2 linked regions of the Oryctolagus cuniculus genome follow. The protein of the gene in region 1 purifies or fractionates together with the protein of each later gene. This does not show direct contact. Links are inferred from orthologs where the notes say so. Each region holds a gene or a part of one and is shown on either strand. Other genes may lie near its edges.

Region 1 (4,347 bases):
AAGCAGTCTGGGCTGAGGCTCTTGAAGAACTGGGGTCAGGAATCCAGAAGCTGACAGCCTGAGTCGGGGCTCCTCGGTTCTGGAAGGGAGACTTTGATTGGGCGGGGCTGGGTGCTTCCATCACCTAGGCACAGGGGCGGCCTGGATTTCCCGGATGCCCCTTGGAAGGCAGAGGGTGATGGCCCCAGGGGTTGGGTCCCCGCCGCTCACATGGGAGACCCGAGGGAGTTCCTGGCTCCTGGTGTCAGCCTGATCCAGTTCCAGACGCTGGCTGGGGCAAGGTCAAGTAGGGGGCAGCTCCGAATCTCCATCTCTGATCCAGGTGGGAGCTGGGGCACATTTTGGGGAGCAAAGTTATGGACCGGCTAGGGGAAGAGGGACAGGGGATTGGCTCTGTGTCCCTGGGCCTGGCGCTCAGAGCAAATGCTTCCCACTCCCAGGAGGGAGTCACCCAGTCCTAACCAAAACGTGCACCCTAAAAAGTAATTTCTTCAGGTGTTGTGGAGCAGGGGCTTCAGCTGCCGGCTGGGACACTCACACCCCCACCAGAGGGCTGGTGCGAGGCCGGCCACTCAGCTAATGCCCCCTGGAAGGCAGAGGGTGATGGCCCAGGGCTTGGCCCCCCCACACCTCACATGGGAGACCCGAGGGAGTTCCTGCCTCCTGGCTTCAGCCGGATCTAGTTCCAGCTGTCTCTGTCATTCTACCTTTAAAATAAACAAATCTTTAAAAATATACATAGGTAATATATACAGACACTTTAAGGCCAACCGGAACCCCACGTCAGAGCGCGGGTTCCAGCCCCAGCTGCTCTGCTCATCCAGTTCCCACCTGAGCAGACAGGTGAAGGCCCCAGGGCCCCTCCAGCCTCGGGGGAGACCTGGGTGGAGCTTCTTGCTCCTGGTTCTGACCCGGCTTGGTCCTGGCTACTTGCAGCCATTTAAGGAGTGAACCAGCAGATGGAAGCTCTCTCTCTCTCTCTCTCTCTCTCACGCTATCAAATAAATAAATAATAAATACTTTATTAAGAAAATATTTAAGGCCATGGTTACATCGAACAGTAAATCAGTAGGCGAAATGCCGACTGTGCAGTGCAGCCCCGCGAATACAGCCGAGCAGGGGCCGGCCTGCCCGCTAGGAGGCTGGACGCTGCAGTGACCACCTTGGGCAAGTGGAACGGGGACACGGCCACCCCCGTCCGCCAGCGACCGCAGGCTGGGGCCCGCCGCCTACGCTGGGCTGGGGAGCCATCGCGCAGAGCTGAGCCAGGGGCACGTGCGTGACGGACAGCCCGTCCGGAAAGGCCGCCGTGACGTCACAGGCCTGGAATCCCCGCGAGAAGTCCCGGTTCCCTTTTCGCTTCCCCGCCCGCGGAGGCGGGCTCCCGAAGCCCCGCCCCGCGTGACGTCAGCGCGCCGGCCTATAAAAGCGCCGCGAGCGGCGTCCGTGCTCCACCGCTCAGTCGCCAGCCAGCACCGTGGAAGATTACATGCGAGACGCCCGTTCGCCGCCACTGCGCTTGCGACCGCCGGTGGGACCAAGTGTCCTCGAGCCTCACGCCTGAGGGCGAGATGAACGCGCTGGCTTCCCGAGCCGTCCGGACCTACGATCGCTTCTGGCAGCCCGAGCCGGCGCTCCTGCCTCCGGGGTGACGAGCAGGCCCCAGACGGTGAGCGAGGGGCGCCGGGGAGCTGGGGGCTAGGGCCGGGCTCCCGGGACTAGAGGGTTCGGGGCCGGGACTCGAGCTCGGGTCCTGAGGGAGGCAGGGCCTGGGGCGGGGTAGGACCGGGGGTGGGGGTCTCCGGGGCGTGGAGGAGGGGGCCGGGGCCCGCAGCTTGGGAAGGCGGGAGGGTTGGGAGTCTTGGAGCTTGAGCCTGCGAGACAGACCCTTGGGTCCCCAAGGAAGCCGCGGCGGGGCTGGGGGTGTCGGGAGGTACGGAGCCCCCAGGGAAAGATGGCGGCCTGATTTGTCAGTGCCCAGGGCGGTGAGCGACCTGCGTCCCCACGGGGAGCGAGGAGAAGGCCTTTGTTCTTGGTTCTCCTGGGTCTGAAGAGAGGAGGGGTCGGGGGTCTGGACGCTCGGACCCAAGGGTGGACCGAGCCGGGCCCCAGAGCGCGAGAGGGGCGTGGCCGGCGTCAGGAATCCCGAGCTGCGCCTGTTGCTAATTCCGGCGGCCTGACTCACGGTCACGCCCCGCGCCAGCCCCAAATGGCCCCTCAACTTTATTTCCTTTCCTTCTCCCCCTTTTCCAGCCCAGACAGATGGCGCCCGGCCAGGTGCCGCATCATGGCGCCCCCTGGGGGGACGCCCACCCCTTCTTCCTCCTGTCCCCGCTGATGGGCTTCCTCAGCCGGGCCTGGAGCCTCCTGAGAGGCCCAGGACCTCCGCAGCGCTGGCTGCTGGAACATCAGGTCGAGGCTGGCCTGGAGGCGCCCGTGGCCGCCCGTGGAGCCCCCTGGGGGGCTGGAGGCAGCGGCAGGACACCCTGCCTCAGGCGGAAAGGCTGCCTGCCTGAGGCCCCGGGACTTGCAGATGACGATGACGAAGAGGCAGCCAGTGTCGAACAGGGAGGGCAGCTTGCAGCCGGCCAGCCTGCTGCCCTGTGCCCCAGCCTGTGGGGGGGAAGCCTGCGCGGGTCTGATAAGAACCCTGGGGCGGAGGAAGCGGAGAGAGGGGGCGTGGCCCCGGTCTCTTATCCCTGGTCAGGGGGGGAGCCCCGCACAGAGGATGGAGACGCCCCCAGCGCCGCCAGTTCCCCGACTCCAGGACCCGAGCCCAGCAGAGGGGCGCGCTGCCCAGGGGACGGCGGGGCCCGAGCCACGGAGGAGGAAAGAGCAGGAAGCCAGGAAGGCAGGAGGGCCTCCGATCCGGCCTCGGATTCCAGCGCCGAGCCCAGGCCCCGGGAGCCTTGTTCAGGAGAGGAAAGCAGGGAGACAGGGGAAGGGGTGCACGGAGCAGCCGGGAGAGGAGACGCCGGCCCCGGGCCACGCTGCCTGGCGCCCCTTCGGAGGCCCCTGCTCAGTCAGTCCGGCAAGGACCCAGAGGAAGAAGACAGTGAGGAGGAGGAGGGCCCTGCTGACAGGGCAGCTGAGGAGGAGGGAGGAGCTGAGGCTTCCTCTCCCACCCGTGCAACAAGTGCCTTGGTGAGGGCCTGGGTGTGTCGGCCAGGAGAGGACACGGAAGATGACAGCGACGAGGGATCAGCTGAGGAGGATGGAGAAGCTGAGGAGTGGGGAGAAGCTGAGGTTTCCTCTCCCACCCGTGCAACAAGTGCCTTCGTGAGGGCCTGGGTGTGTCGGCCAGGAGAGGACACGGACGATGACAGCGACGAGGGATCAGCTGAGGAGGATGGAGAAGCTGAGGAGTGGGGAGAAGCTGAGGTTTCCTCTCCCACCTGTGCAACAAGTGCCTTCGTGAGGGCCTGGGTGTGTCGGCCAGGAGAGGACACGGAAGATGACAGCGACGAGGGATCAGCTGAGGAGGAGGGAGGAGCTGAGGAGTGGGGAGAAGCTGAGGTTTCCTCTCCCACCCATGCAACAAGTGCCTTCATGAGGGCCTGGGTGTATCGGCCAGGAGAGGACACAGACGATGACAGCGACGAGGGATCAGCTGAGGAGGATGGAGAAGCTGAGCCCCCTGCCTTCCGAGTGGCCGTCTACCTACCTGGAGAGAAGCCACCCCCTCCGTGGGCTCCTCCTAAGCTGCCCGTCCGGCTGCGAAGGCGGCTCAAGGTCTCAGAGGCCCCGGCCCGCGGTCCGGACCCTGAGACTCCCCTGGCCAGAAAGGTGGGTGCCGAGGGCCCTGGGCCTTGAGGCTCGGGGAGGAGGGGGCTGGGAGTGGGAAGGCCTGGGCGGGGGAGGAGGGCTGCCGGCCGGGACTGCTGGGCGCCCGTGTTGCACAGGATTGCGTGTGCACTGTCGGGAGAGCTGTCACGCACTGCTGCGTGAGAGGCGGGGCCCCGGGGGGAGAGGCAGCAGCTGCGGCACCCGGCCGCGCGGGGATCTGCTCTGGTGGGCATTCGTCCTGCCTCACTGCTCTCTGGTTCTCTCCTCCCCCTCCTGGATGCCCGTCTTTGCATGGCCGTGCTGTCCACCTCCAGGTGCGCTTCTCTGACAAGGTCACCGTCCATCTCCTGGCTGTGTGGGCGGGGCCGGCCCAGGCTGCCCGCAAGGGCCCTTGGGAGCAGTTCGCCAGGGATCGGAGCCGCTTTGCCCGCCGCATCGCCCGGGCCCAGGAGGAGCTGGGCCCCTGCCTCAGCCCTGAACCCCGGGCCAGAGCCTGGGCGCGCCTCAGGAACCCACCCTCTTCCCTGGGCCCCATCCTCGCCCCCGCCCACACGTTGCCTT
Region 2 (4,509 bases), on another chromosome or scaffold:
AAGCTCAGACCGTCACATTCACAGCTGATTTTCTGCTTCCTCAGTAGAGGTGGGGGGAGGGAGAGAGGGGAGAGAGGGAGAAGGAGGGAGAGAGAAAAAGAGGAAGAGAGAGGGAGGGAGAAGGGAGGAGGGAGGAAGGGAGGGAGAAGGGAGGAGGGAGGAAGGGAGGAAGGGAGGGAGGGGGGAGGGGACAGGGAGAGAGAGAGTGGGGAGGGAGAGAGAGGGAGGGGGAGGGAGGGGAGAGGGAGGGGGAGTGAGAGGTGGGGGAGAGGGGTGGGGGGAGGAAGAGGGAGGGAGGGAGGGAGAGGGGGAGGTGGAAACGGAAGGAGGGAGAGAGGGAGGGAGGGAGGGAGAGAGAGAGAGGCAGCACACAAATGCAAACGCTTTACTCTCCCCATAGCTGTTAGGCCCATTTCAGGCGATGTCCAACTCTTCTTACAAACTGGCCAGACACCTGCAGAGCTAAGTTGTTTCTCCCGACAAAGTGTTCTGCCCAAAAGAGAAAGGCGGCCCACCAGTGAGCAGATTCCAGGGGAACTTTGGGGCCTTTCTGTGAGCTCATAATCAAGACACGGGCGTCTGGTGGGAGAGTTTGACATGCAAACTTGGCAGTGTGGTGAGTGGCACAGAAACACGGGCCATGTTCCCATAGCAGGGGCCGCTAGGTCAACGAGGATGGCACTGCAAGATCCAAGCCAGCGCCCACGCCGGCGCAACTCCCCGCTCTGATATACCAAACTCTTCTGTATGCTTCCCATGGCAATCAACTAGCCTTCTCGGAGCCGGTTTACCAAACCTCCTTTTCTCTCTCTTCACTATAAACTGAGTTCTGTAAGGGCAAGAGGTGGCGACGGTGCAGTCACTTAGGAAATTAAAAAAAAAAAAAAAAAAAGCCGGTGGACAACTGAATTCAAAGATGTGTGTTTGGGTGCACAGCATTTCTGAATCCCGTGCACAGTTTTGCATAACATGCATCTTCCCCGACGCTGCGTAAATCCAGTGCCCGGCCCAGTGAGGGTTCGCGGAACACCGAACGGTTCCATTAGGGAGTAAAGACAGCGGACCTTCACACGATCGGCAGTCCGGCCGCGTTTTCCTGTCCAGCCTGACTCATTCAGAAGGAAAGTGAGGGACCCCGACTCTCAAAAAGAACCTGGGTCGGCCCTAGAAACAAGGACCCTCCGCGCAGGCTTTCCCGACCCTACGAGAATGAAACACCGCTCACCCGCCCCCTTTTACTTACATTCGCGAGGGGAAGATTTCAATTCGGTCTTTGCCAGACATTCTGACGATGGCTGACTGGCTTCGGTACCCCGCCGGGAAACCGTGGCTGCAACAGCTCCAGGACTGGCCGCCCCAGCGCCTTCCTCTACCGGAGTCAGCTGGTTCTGTCAGATGACCCCGCGCGTTGCTAAGAGGCAGCGAGGATACCCATCGCTCACTTCCGCTTCCGGTTGTCAGGGCGAGGAGGGGTGGGGTGCTGGACGAGGGCAATGCCCGGATGTGGAGGCGCGCGCACCGCGGAACTACCTCTCACTTCCGGTTCGCCTCCCCACACTCCTCCTCAGCCCAACTCTCCCGCGACTGCGCAGATCGCAGCACGCGCCGGGGTAGGGGGAGCGAGAAAGGAGAGAAGAGGACACTCTGTCTCTGCTTCCGTTTTACGTCGTTGGTCACAGCGCCATCTCATGGTTGGCGAAAACTTACAGCGAGGATTCCTACTCAAGGGCAAGGAATTATGGTCCCACCTCGTCCCTGGGCCTTGAAAGTTACTTAGCAAAAATTAAAGATCCTGAGAAAACGTGCTTTTCAGGATCTCCTAGGAATCATAGTACTCGGAGGACCCACGCTCTATAGTCAGTTGTGAAGAGCGCCGCTAGTCTGTCGGCGCCTGCGCGGGACAAGGCGGCTCCGCATGCGCGGTGGAGTTGAGCGAAGCGCACGCTGAGGTTCGGCGGCTGGTGCGGCTGGATCAAGTCCGATCTCTGCGATTGGAAGGCGCGACGCGGGACCCCGGTGTGGGATTCACACGCATACTTCAGGTCGCTAACCGCGTGGCTCGGTTTCTCCAAGATCTCGCTTTGGGTTGTGTCCGCTGACATGTGTGGTCAAGAGAGGGTAGGCCCCGGGCCGAAGCCCCCACCCTTTCCCGTGCCTGCGCGGGAAGTGTGGACACCGCGGCCGCCACCCTCGGGCTGTGTCCTGGGCCGAGTGGCTTGTACAGCCTCTGCAATATGCCCAAAGTGGGGCTCCCCCGAGGTGGGGCCCTGGCCACCCTGCCTCCGCCCCCGGGACGCCCAGCTCTGCTTTTTCCGGCTCCCAGCTTGCATCTTTTTTTTTTTTTGAAATCAAACCAATCTCTTCTCTAAGGATAGGTGTTGAGAACATCTGGGCCCATAAAGTGCCTTATTAATCTGATTTTTGAGAACGTAGCCTTATTGCCTTTTCGCTCTAGTTGTGCATTTCTGTAGGATGAGTCACAACTCGAACTGAAACTAAATCTTGGGACCCAGGAGTCTCTTACTGTTACTGTCGGTTTGCAGTATCCTGCTAACGATGGATCTTTGTAGTATTCTGGTCGTACAGTTAGTCGTAACGAAAAGCTCAAGGTAGGGAAAGACTAAGCTTAAATACGAATTCACCCCAAATCCTTGTAACCCTGAAACTTAGCCTGCCTTATACAGTTTTTGTTCAGCAGGGAACACTTCTTGGAGAAGTAATACAGCGGAGACGTCTCGATTTGTTTTTTTCTCCCCTCTATTGAGTTGTTAGTTAAGGGGAAAAAAGAACTTCTAACTGACTCTCATGGGTTACTTAAATAGAGCTTCCTACCTCAGTTTGCTTCCCGTCAAGTGACAGGTACCGATTCTCAGACTGTGCAGTTGAGTGGGACTTCCGGTATCAGCTGCAGGTAAGCGTGCGGCACTCCTGTGCCTAGAACTCGCATTCAGAGAGAGCACAGCTGCTGAGTAAGTGCTGGAGCCGACAGAATCGTCACGTAGCACATCCTACCCTGCAGAGAAATGTCGACTTCCTGTGCCCCGGACGGTGCCTGCCTGTGCGCTCGTGTGAGGAGGCAGCTCTGGGGCAGACAGCTAGCATGGGGTTTAACATGCTGCCTGGGATTCCCGCGTGCTGGAGTGTGTGGATTCAAGCACTGGCCCTGTCGCATTCCAGCTTTTCTGCTCGTGGGCACCCTGGGAGGCAGCAAGTGATAGGTCAAGTACTTGGGTCCCTGCTGTCCTTGTGGGAGACCCTTGGGGCGTTTAGAGGGTAAACCAGTGGATGGGAGATCTCTGTCTGCCTGTTAAATAAGTAAGTAAACACTTAAAAAAAGTCATATGGCAAACATACAATGTGAGGTGTTTGGAGTTGGGTTAAGATATTTTGAAAGATGGATTTTTTTGCATCAGAACACCTTAACAGTGTTGTCCTCTGTCACACTGAGACTCTGAGAAGCCCTCAATGTAAGGTCAGAAGACTTACATTTAGCTCCTGCTCTAGTCTGTATTAAGCATTTGTCCTTGAGGAGGACGTTTAATATTTCTATTCTTTGATAATTGATTGCTTCACTGTGCTGCTTTCTTAGTACTCTGTATTGTAATTATTTGCTTACTAGTTTGTTTCCTACTCCATATTTACACCTTAGGTACTGGGGGGAAAATTGATTAATGCAGTAAATTACAAAATGGAAATAATACTTCTTTGCCTTTTTTTTTTTTTTTTTTTAAAGAGAGAGGGAAAGAAAGCATTCACTAATTTCACTCTCTAAATTTCCAAAATGACTTGTAGTAGGCCCAGGCAACCCAGGTCTCCCATATGGATGACAGGAACCCAATAACCAGCCATCCCCACTGCTTCCCAAGGCCTGGATCAGCCAAGTATTGAACCCAAGCATTCTGGTCTGGGACACAAGCATGTTAATTAGCATCTTTAAGGTTAGGCTAAATGCCTGTCCCTCCTTTGCCTTTTAATACCTTATGTTTGTGTAACACATTACACTTTTTAAAATGTTGTTGCATACATTTGATTGCATTGGATAGACCCATCACATCTGTGAAGTATATGGCACAAAGGAGAAACCAGAGATGAAAAGGGACACCTTCCCAGACAACCACACCTCAGAGGCAGGTGCGCAGGACTGGAACCCAAATTTAGGGCTGCTCCCAGATTTCACCATGACGCGTGATACTTGTTTGACTCAACATTGTTTTTGGAGACCAAATAAAATAAGGCAAGATGCTATGAAAATGATGAAAGGGCCAGATAAATCATGTGATTTCTCTTCAGCTAAGGAAAAAAAAGGTTTAAAAAAAAAACCTTACAAGAAAATTATCCTTTTCTTTCCATTTTTTTCTTTATTTATTTGACAGATAGAGTTAGTGAGAGAGAGACAGAGAGAAAGGTCCTCCCTCCGTTGGTTCACCCCCCAAATGGCTGCCACGGCCGGAGCTACACTGATCAGGAGCCAGGAGCCGGGTGCTTCCTCCTGGTCTCCCATGCAGGTGC

What was found.
Region 2: the proteins of PPP1R15A (region 1) and EIF2S1 purify together in Homo sapiens (affinity purification with western blotting; 4 studies listed by BioGRID and IntAct, with this or other methods). This does not show direct contact. The link is inferred for Oryctolagus cuniculus from reciprocal best matches to the Homo sapiens genes PPP1R15A and EIF2S1.

What each region holds. Positions count from the first base shown.
Region 1 is NC_091449.1:8,337,731-8,342,077, reverse strand, and holds the start of PPP1R15A (protein phosphatase 1 regulatory subunit 15A), read left to right. Parts: upstream 1-1,453; 5' UTR 1,454-1,669; intron 1,670-2,253; 5' UTR 2,254-2,262; coding exon 2,263-3,786; intron 3,787-4,100; coding exon 4,101-4,347. UniProt on the Homo sapiens protein: Recruits the serine/threonine-protein phosphatase PPP1CA to prevents excessive phosphorylation of the translation initiation factor eIF-2A/EIF2S1, thereby reversing the shut-off of protein synthesis initiated by stress-inducible kinases and facilitating recovery of cells from stress.
Region 2 is NC_091451.1:13,211,507-13,216,015, forward strand, and holds the start of EIF2S1 (eukaryotic translation initiation factor 2 subunit 1), read left to right. Parts: upstream 1-1,499; 5' UTR 1,500-2,042; intron 2,043-3,709; exon of another isoform or gene 3,710-4,509. UniProt on the Homo sapiens protein: Member of the eIF2 complex that functions in the early steps of protein synthesis by forming a ternary complex with GTP and initiator tRNA. This complex binds to a 40S ribosomal subunit, followed by mRNA binding to form a 43S pre-initiation complex (43S PIC).